Ovis aries: one gene and its partner. Each later gene encodes a partner of the first gene's protein in a complex. Links are inferred from orthologs where the notes say so. Each region holds a gene or a part of one and is shown on either strand. Other genes may lie near its edges.

What was found.
Region 2: IK (region 1) and MFAP1 share a complex: the UniProt entries of both Homo sapiens proteins name them as parts of the spliceosome B complex. The link is inferred for Ovis aries from reciprocal best matches to the Homo sapiens genes IK and MFAP1.

The regions. Positions count from the first base shown.
Region 1 is NC_056058.1:49,440,669-49,446,482, reverse strand, and holds the start of IK (protein Red), read right to left. Parts: upstream 3,403-5,814; 5' UTR 3,307-3,402; coding exon 3,291-3,306; intron 2,723-3,290; coding exon 2,656-2,722; intron 588-2,655; coding exon 495-587; intron 1-494. Other genes in the region: NDUFA2 (NADH dehydrogenase [ubiquinone] 1 alpha subcomplex subunit 2), read left to right, coding at 3,612-3,712, 3,835-4,069. UniProt on the Homo sapiens protein: Involved in pre-mRNA splicing as a component of the spliceosome. Auxiliary spliceosomal protein that regulates selection of alternative splice sites in a small set of target pre-mRNA species. Required for normal mitotic cell cycle progression.
Region 2 is NC_056071.1:53,265,322-53,269,499, forward strand, and holds the start of MFAP1 (microfibrillar-associated protein 1), read right to left. Parts: upstream 2,801-4,178; 5' UTR 2,662-2,800; coding exon 2,583-2,661; intron 1-2,582. UniProt on the Homo sapiens protein: Involved in pre-mRNA splicing as a component of the spliceosome.

The sequences.
Region 1 (5,814 bases):
AGCAAAATATTGCCACAGCACCAGAAACCCCAAGAAGTGCCCTTGAGAATTAAAGAAAAGCCTAGAATACAGACCAAAGCAAAAACTGTCAGTTTTAATCAGGCAGAGATCCAGGTCAATATTTGTAGGTGAGTCGTTCTCAAATTTTAGAAAGCATCACAAACATCTGAAGGACTACTAAAATTATATATACCCAAACATCTGCCCTAGAATCTGAGTCTGTGGGGCTGGAATGGATCCAGAAATCTTATTTAAGCACAGGAGCAACTCTAGTTGGTCCAACAAATGGTCCGTGGAACATACTCTGAGAAAAACTGAGATCCCTAGAGCATCCCAGTCTTTCCTGGAGCTTCAATCTCAAGAGGGAGGGAATCAAAACCATGGACTTAAAAAAAAAACGGGGAGGGGGTGCTTTCAAGTTCCTAAGACATCTAGTTCAATAAATTTTCCATAGGAAATAGTCAGAACACAGATTGGATCAACCCAGAACTTACTCATGGTGACGTGACTTAGAGGGTGGTGCAGAGGTAGGTGCAGCCCTTGGGGTCATGAGAAGTTTCCTGAAGTCTTCATTAGTGAGTTTTGATCTAAAGGGCAAAAATTTTTACAAATTAGTACCCGATGAGAATTGGAAAAGGAATATGTAAAAAATATGGTTCACTTTACTAGAAATCAGGCAAATACAAATTAAAACAAAGACATGCCTTTTTTAATGCATCAGTGCTAATGATTAAAAAGTTTGATAAGTCAAGAATGAGTGAGAATATGGGAAGTGGATATTCTCTTATCACCGACACGAATGTAAATCAGCACTGATAACTAGGAGGATGATTTGCCAGTATCTTTCTTAAAATTTAAATGTGTAATATCCTATGATGGAGCAACTCCATTCAACTGTATTTAACCTGGTCAATTACTGGCATTATGTGTATAAGGCCTGTGAAAGAGATCTAATTACAGTTTCGAAAATAATAAAAACTTGGGAAGGACCTAAACTCTCACTGGAGACTATTAACAAATAAACTGTGACAGTATTTCCCAAATGTGGAGAACATAGCACTGATAGTATAAGATGTAATTTTAACTGATACAGTGACCAAACTCAAGTTTCCTTTAAACTCTCTTCAGAGCAGGCCTCTTCCTTGGCCTGCTGAGCCCACTGTAGCGAAGAATCCTGCTAGGTCTCCCCCAAAATGACTCTTCAACACTACCAAAATACAAATTAAGACTATTGCAAAAGGGGATAAGGATCAAAATTCAACTCTGAATACAACAGAGACAATAGGGAATTTATGGAAAATTACTCAGACATCAAAGTGGAAGATGAATTTGATTAGATTAGCAAGAGGAGTGACTGGATCTCATTGACTGATTGATGGATGGATGGTATTCTCCATACCCTAACAGAATTCTTTGCTAAAATTGGGTTCAGGAGACCTGGAAAAAAATATAAGGCCTGCAGAAGCCTGACTAGAGTTTGGTCAAGAAGGGAGTCTTTCAGCAGAGGTGTGCATCCCTACTTCGGGGCTGACTACATTTCCACTTGGGGTCACTAGGACATAGCTATCCCATACTATAGAGTTCTGAGGGTGGGATTTTGGGGTATGAACCCTGGCCCTAATCCACCAGCATTTTAGAAACCTATGTGGGGGATGTATAGCCATCACAGCTGGTGGCACCGGGATGGAATCACTTCTGTGTGTACTGTGTAGCAGTCTAGCTCCAGCCACCTGGACACTTACTACATGAACCTCACACGCCTCTCCCTGCCCCATAGTCTGGGGATCCACGCTCACACCTGGAGGGACATTGATGAGACAAGGCTTGAGCTAAGAGAAAGCCAAAGGACAGGCTGTGAGGGAAGATGAAGGCAGGGTATCTTGCCAGGGAGGAAGATGAAGCTGAGTATCACACTAAGGGTAAGGGTTGGTTTCTGTTGCTGCTGAGCCAGAACAAGAACCAAGTAGGACTGGCTATTAGTATACTTGACGTCAACAAGTATGTAGATAACAAGTAGAACAGGAAAAACTTTCCCTCTACCCTCTTATACTTATATATATATTCTGCACCAGAGATCTGCAAATGAAACTAACAAAAGACAAACTTAAAAAAAAAAAGAAGTCCTTGTCACTGCCATGAAAATAAGGACTAAGATATTGAGAAGGGAAGATCATCAGATGGCAAAATTATATACACACAATGTAACATCACTTAATTTTAATATTTTAACTCACAAGGCAATATTTTACTGAGATATAAATGCATGTGTATAAATGCATTTAAAAAGAGTAGCAAAAAAGATATGTGTAAAACAGGTAAAATGGCTACCTCTAAAAAAGGGAATGAAATTGGGAATGTTATCGAAGACAACATTGACTTCATTCTGATGTTTTAATTTTATACAAAAATTAATTCCTAAATAATGCAAAATTAAACATGAATTTAAAAAAATTAGCACTCACTCTGTCATTATTTCCCCTCTAACACTTTTATGCAGTTGGCCTGACCCAGTTAAAGTTCACAGAGGTAACAGGGCAAGAGGTATGATTCTCTGACCATTCTTAGTGACAAGACATTCAGAATTATTTCACTGTCACCACCACCACTTCGCTCATTCCCCAGCTCATTCCCATGGTTCTACGTCAAAACACTCACTGGTGGAAGGAGTGAGGATCGTCCACATCGTGGCCATCTGGAGCCAAGGGATTGGAGAATGGTTCGCCTAAGAAAAAGAATTGATATTAATTTAATAAATCTCTTTAGAGTCAGGTCCTGTGCAAAAGTTGGGGATTCAGTAGTGAACAATACACAGATGTCTTTTCCTGTCAACTTGCTCACAATCTAGTGGGGAAAAAAGTCAAGAACAGCGACACTGACAATACAATGTAAAAAATGCTAAAGCAAAAAATACAAGGAGCTACGGGAGCGCAGAGGACAGGACCCCTAAAACCAGGCTGGAGGATCAGCCAAGAAATCCCGAACATGACATCTAAGATACTACGCAAAAGATAAACTGACGTAACTGAAAATTAAGTGACAGGGGTTGGGGGAGGCTCACAGATAAATCTTATCTGTCGTGCGCTGGGACAAGAACAAGATTTAGGGACAATCTGGAATTTCCCGGCCTCGTTCAGGGCCCAAGTGCTTCGCCAGGGTCCAAGCGTCACACTCCCGGCCCGCCTCCACTCCGCCCCACCCCCCACATACACGGCTTAAATTCTGAGGCCAAAATAACACGCCACATGTCCCGAGTCCCGCGTGGAAAAAAGGAGAGATGACCCGAGCCTTACTATCTCGCTCCGGCATTTCGTCCGCAGTTTTTCAACCCCAACAACGACCGAGGATCCTGTAACAACACAAAGCTACAGGAACCTCCCCACAATGCACCTCAGGAGACCGCCCACAATTCCTTTCGGGCCCCAGCTTTTCCGTCTCGGCCGCGGGCGGAGAAATCAGAGCAGGCGTTGACTGGCAATGCTTTTATGGCATTGGCTAAGCGTGACCCCGCCCTTTGCGTACACCAACCTATCACGGGGCTGGAGCGTCCAAAGCTGATTTGATAGGATTACTTGGCCGGAAGGTCTAGGGTGGATGATTGAGTACTAGCCGAGATGGCGGCGGCTGCAGCGATTCGCGGAGTCAGAGGCAAACTGGGCCTTCGTGAAATTCGTATCCATTTGTGCCAGCGCTCGCCCGGCAGCCAGGGCGTCAGGTGAGGCGCGGCCCAGTGAGGCGGGTGGGCTTCGGGGCGCCAGGGTCATGACCTCGACCTCCCGGGTGTCTGGAGAGGCCCGTGCCCACACCGCACGCGCGGTGCTCTCTCCTGCCCCGCAGGGACTTCATTGAGAAACGCTATGTGGAGCTGAAGAAAGCGAATCCCGACCTGCCCATCCTAATCCGCGAGTGCTCCGATGTGCAGCCCAAGCTCTGGGCCCGCTACGGTGAGCGCGGGACGCAGGGAACCAGAGACCCCGGAGGGGGAACAAAGGTTCGAAAAGAGAAAGAGCTGCCCAAGGTCACACAGAAACCTACACAGGGACTGGGACTCAGACTTCAGCTTTGCTATTGATCTTGTTGCAAATAAGGAAATATACATTCGCAGAGTTACAGAGTGTTTGTATCCAAGTAACAGGTGGAGACAGGCCCTGCCCTGCATAGGAATCGTTTTTGTAGTTCAGAACAGGCTTCAGGTTGCCTGTGTTGAGTGCTTTCCTTTCCAAATCTCTTGAACCTTAAGTATATAAGGGGTGGATTCCTTTTTCTCATCTTGTAGAGATTAAAACGCTGAATGAACAATTGTATGGAACATACCTAACGTTTTTCAGCTAAGATGCATAACACGGTTGAGCTTTTACATTTGTTCCCCAATCCTAGATTGCACTTCTGCCAGACTTAAGTAGCTGGCTTTTCAGGTTACAATTCAGGTAATCTTGTAGGTCTGAATTTCGATATCACCTCCTCAAAAAGGCATTCCCTGACCAGTTATGTAACATTGCCTCTTTACCCTGTTTCATTTTACCAAGTGTTTATTAACATACTACCTGTGTCATTTTACCACAATTTGAAAACTACTCTGATGTTGCCTGAACATAGAGACACAATAAATATTCATACTTACTGAATAATTGGGCTTCCCTGGTGGCTCAGACGGTAAAGAGTCTGCCTGCAATATGAGACACCAAAGTTCGATCCCTGGGTCCGGCAGACCCCCTGGAGAAGGAAATGGCAACCCACCCCAGTATTCTTGCCTGGAAAATTTCATGGACGGAGGAGCCTGCCAGGCTACAGTCCATGGGGTCGCAGAGTCAGACACGACTAAGCGACTTCACTTTCACTCACTGAATAATGGTATTTTTAATCACAGCTTTTAATTACACTTTGCCCTAGGAATGTCTGGGGGAAGGCAGAGAGTCACACCCAGGGCAGATTGGTTTTAACAGTGCAGCTAACTGCAGTTTGCCATGCACTAAGTTGTTTGCAGGAAAAAAATTTTCCTTCTGAAAGCTAGTAGACTAGAGGAGATGGACACACAAATAACTTTAGTTAATGAACTATAGGAGCCATTAAAAGGGCACAATTAAGAGGCAGGCCCATGTAATACTCTGCTGACAGTGATTAATACTCAGTGCTACCATGCCCCTTAAAACTTCCCTGAAACACTTTCCTTCCCATTATGACCACCCAGAATGAGCCAAAATTCTACTTAGACCTGGGCTTCCGAGATATGTTAGAGACCCACTGGATAAATTCTAGGCATGTCAAATACATTTTGGTCATATCTCTTTACTACCCTTCATATCCTACCAAGAGTGTAAGTGGAAGACTACTTTGGTAGCCTGTACAGTGCAGAATGAATAATTAATAATCTTTCTGTCTCCTCAGCATTTGGCCAAGAGAAGAATGTGTCTCTGAACAACTTCAGTGCTGATCAGGTAACTAGAGCCCTGGAGAATGTGCTAAGTAGCAAAGCCTGAAGTCTCCACTGAGGATTAAAAACAACAGCCCCAGAGTCTGGGCTCTGCTGGACTAAGTACAATGTGGAGAAATGTATTCTGTTCTGTATAAAGATTGTGCTGAAAATGCTGTCTAAAGATGATCTGATTCGCATCCCACCAACTACCCCTTATTGTGCAACCATCTGAGGGAAAGCAGTTGGATATAAAAATAAAACTTATTTTATTCTGTCCCATCAAAAGCCATGAGCCACTGAATCCATAAAAGGGAAAGAACAAGAAAAAAGGAGGTTCCAGGGACCTATATTAAGTATACCACACTGAGTTCCATCTGGTCCTCTTGCCTGGACAGTGCTGGATG
Region 2 (4,178 bases), on another chromosome or scaffold:
TTGGACTGCAAGGAGATCCAACCAGTCCATTCTGAAGGAGATCAGCCCTGGGATTTCTTTTGGAAGGAATGATGCTAAAGCTGAAGCTCCAGTACTTTGGCCACCTCATGTGAAGAGCTGACTCATTGGAAAAGACTCTGATGCTGGGAGGGATTGGGGGCAGGAGGAGAAGGGGACGACAGAGGATGAGATGGCTGGATGGCATCACGGACTTGATGGACATGAGTCTGAGTGAACGCCAGGAGATGGTGATGGACAGGGAAGCCTGGCGTGCTGTGATTCATGGGGTTGCAAAGAGTCGGACACGACTGAGCGACTGAACTGACCTGTGCTCTATAATTTTAATGTAATTTCATTAAAAGCTGTTCTCAGGCTGATTCTAAAATCATATGGAAGAACAGGAGGTCAAAAAGAGCCAAGACAATTCTGAAGAACAAGGTGAGGTAAAAGACCTTAACAGACACCTTGCCAAAGAAGATATACAGATGGCAAATAAGTATGTGAAAAGATGGTCCACATTTTGTGTCTTCGTGCATGCTCTGTGGCTTAGTCGTGTCCGACTCTGCGACCCCATGGACTGTAGCCCGCCAGGCTCCTCTGTCCATGGGGATTCTCCAGGCAAGAATACTGGAGTGAGCTGCCATTTCCTCCTCCAGGGCCTCTTCCTCACCAAGGGATCAAACCTTTGTTTTCTTCATTGGCAGTAATTTTTTTAAACCACTGAGCCACCTGGGAAGCCCTTATATGTCTTCAGGGAATGCAAATTAAAAAAAAAAAAACAACAATGAGATGTTGCTACACACAGAATGGCCAAAATCTAGAGCTCTGACAATACCAAATGCTGGTAAGAATGTGGAGCAACAGGAACTCTGATTTATTGTGGGTGGGAGTGCAAAATGGCACAACCACTTTGGAAGATGGTTTGGTGGTTTCATACAAAACTAAGCATACTCTTACCATATGATCTCATTTCCGCTCTTTGGTATTTATACAAAGGAGCAAAACACAAAAACCCGCACATGGATATCGATTGTAGCTTTGTTCATAATTGCCAAAACTTGTAAGCAACCAAGCTGTCCTTCACAGAGGTGAATGGATAAGTAAACTATGGTACATCCAGATGATGGAATATTACTCAGCAACAACAAAACAAAAAGAGCTATCAAGCCATGAAAATACATGCAGGAAACTTAAAATGCATATTACTAAGTGAAAATACTGTGTGATACCATAATGATGGATATATATCCCGATACATTTGTTCAAATCCATAGAATGTACATCAGAGTGAATCTTAATGCAAACTACGGACTGAATGATAAATGATGTGTCAACGTAGATTCACACTACCCTAGTAGAAATTTTTACACAAGTGCACTAAAGAGACATATTTAAGCACTATTTGTAAAAGGGAAAAAAGTAACAAAATGACAACTAAATGTCCCTCAACAGGGATCAAACTGTGGTTTAATTATACAATGGAACTTATAAGCAGGTAAAGGGGCTTCCCTGGTGGCTCAGAGGTTAAGAATCCACCTGCCAATGAAGGAGACACCAGTTCTATCCCTGGGTAGGGAAGATCCCCTGGAGAAGGAAATGGTAACCCACTCCAGTAATCTTGCCTGGGAAATCCCAAGGACAGAGGAACCTGGTGGGTTACAGTCCCATGGAGTCCCAGAGTCAGACAGGACTTAGCGACGAAACAAGCAGTTAAAGTGAATGAATGAGATCTTCAGGTATCCAAAGGACACTTACCAAAGTCATGCTGACTTAAGGAAAAAACAACAACAAAAGGCAGAATGCACAAAGATAGATACTGTATATTTAAAAGATAAAAAGAACTGACATTATTTTCCAAATACTTTACTGAAAAAACTCAGACTTTCAGTCTGACTCCCCAAACAAGTACAGTTTTCCTTCGTCCATCTGCACTCATTAGAATCCTACCCATCCTTTAAAGATCAAGTTAAATATTCCAATCTGAAGAGATTATTCCTTCTCTGTCCTCCCAAAGCATTTCGTTTATATCACCTATGTGACAGGTTTTATAGGTGGGAAAGACCATAAATTTGTTCAGAATGTGCCTCTTTTTTGCATGTCTCACATCTACAGACTATGAGTTCCTTACACCACTGTTTTACACCATTTTGTATTCAATGTAACAAATACAGTCACTGCGATGGCTGAAAGGGATAAAAAGTTTTAAGATAGAGTTCTTGCCTCAAATAGGTTATTGATTTACGATGTAGTAGACGGAGGTGGACAAGTAATTACAATCATACGAGTTATAAAAGCACCATAAACAGACAATGGACAACAAAATGTATGCTACACAAAGCCATGCAAATAGCAGGCATTCACTATATTAGCTTAACTTATTGGTGGACGAGAGAGCACACAGGTTCTACTAAGGAGATGAGTTCTAAGTAGCAACGCGATCGGATCCGAGTTTGACGGGGAAGTCGAAGAAATAGGGGCAGGGTCTTAAGGATCTCTGGGGATAAGGTGGTGGACCCGGGGTAAGTTTGGAATATCCTGACGAAAGAGATAAGATCCGACTGGAAAACCGCTCAACACAGTACCTTTCTCATTGCGAACCGGGACGGCCCCAGCCGTTGACTGAATGGGCGGTTGTTTCATGAGTGAGCTTGGGACCGACATGTTGACGACAGCGGCGGTGACTCCCGAAACTCGACTGATTTCAAAGTGAACAGCTACAACGTCAACGAACAGATAAAACCCTCTCCTCCTAGGACCACTTGAAACTGCTCCGCGACTGATAGAAACACCACCTTCGACTGAGCTAGAAAAACCGGAAGTATACGACCAGAGGATTGTGGGATTGTGGAGGACTTCTAGACGCCTACGACTAGAAGGTGGAGTCTGTTACTGCGCATGTCCATAGGCTGCCCCGGTGTTCTCAGTCTCGCAGTGCTTGTACGCGTCTTCCCCGCGGGAAGTTGGTTCCACTGGGATTTGCTGTTAAGACCCTGCGACGAGGGAAGTCTCAAGTAAAGGTTTTGTTCGTTAGGTTGGTCTAAACCCGACTATTACAGGGTAGTGATGAATAATGAAACTCAGGAGATAATGAACTGCAGTTTGTAAAGATTGTCAAATTTGAAAGCTCAGAGTTTAATCGGAATAGAAATCCCGTTAACAGCACTTGATTAGCTCAGTTGATGAGGCTGAGCGGATTGTGGTGAGGTATTTTTTGGTCACTTGAGGGCAAGTGGTGGTAATTTAGGCCAGTGGCAAGAAAAAAAAAATCCCCCAAGCAGCTTAGAATAGTGTCTGAGATCCGAACACTATTAAGCGTTCCAGTTCTGTCCGTTTCTGGAGACTGCCTATTATAACATATTCCTGGCTGGAGTGTTTGTATATGAGTCCGTAAGTAATTATTAAGCACTGGTGTTTACATCACTTAGATCTCTCTAAGGAGTATGGAATATTGTTAAAAGGCTCGTGTCCTCCAGGAACTTGAATTTTATTTAGTAAGTCTTAATGGGAGGCCCGGAGAAGGCAATGCCACCCCACTCCAGTACTCTTTGCCTGGAAAATCCCATGGATGGAGAAGCCTGGTAGGCTGCAGTCCATGGGGTCGCACAGAGTCGGACACGACTGAAGTGACTTAGCAACAGCAGCAGCAATGGGAGGCCTGGCGTGCTGCAATTCATGGGGTCGCAAACAGTCGGATACGACTGAGCGACTGAACTGAACCGAAAGGGTTTATAATAGAATAGGAACAAATAGCCCCCATTTTCTAGGTGGATCGTGTTTAAAAACAAAAACAAAAAACAGGCTAGTTGGCAGAACGCTGTAGAAAAGATTTTATAACTGCTGTGTACGGAGAGAAGGGACAATGTGAGCAAAGTCTTGAAGTCCAGAAATATGGCATATATCAGGCGCTGTGAAAAGTGATTTTATCAGTAATTTTTGAGTCCAGGAGTGAAAAATTGCTGAAGGGAACTTTCCTGAAGGTACTGTTAGTAGCATTACTTCTCAAGTGGTTTCACCTGTTCTACAGTTGGGCCTCAGCTGGGAGAAGAAATAAAATTGGGCAAGTCTCAATCAAAGAACAGTGCAGGACACAAGTTTTGAGCTACGAAGGACTGTAAAAATAGAGTTGATAGAAATTTGTATTGTAAATTTATCAGCTCCAAAATTATGCTATCCCGAGG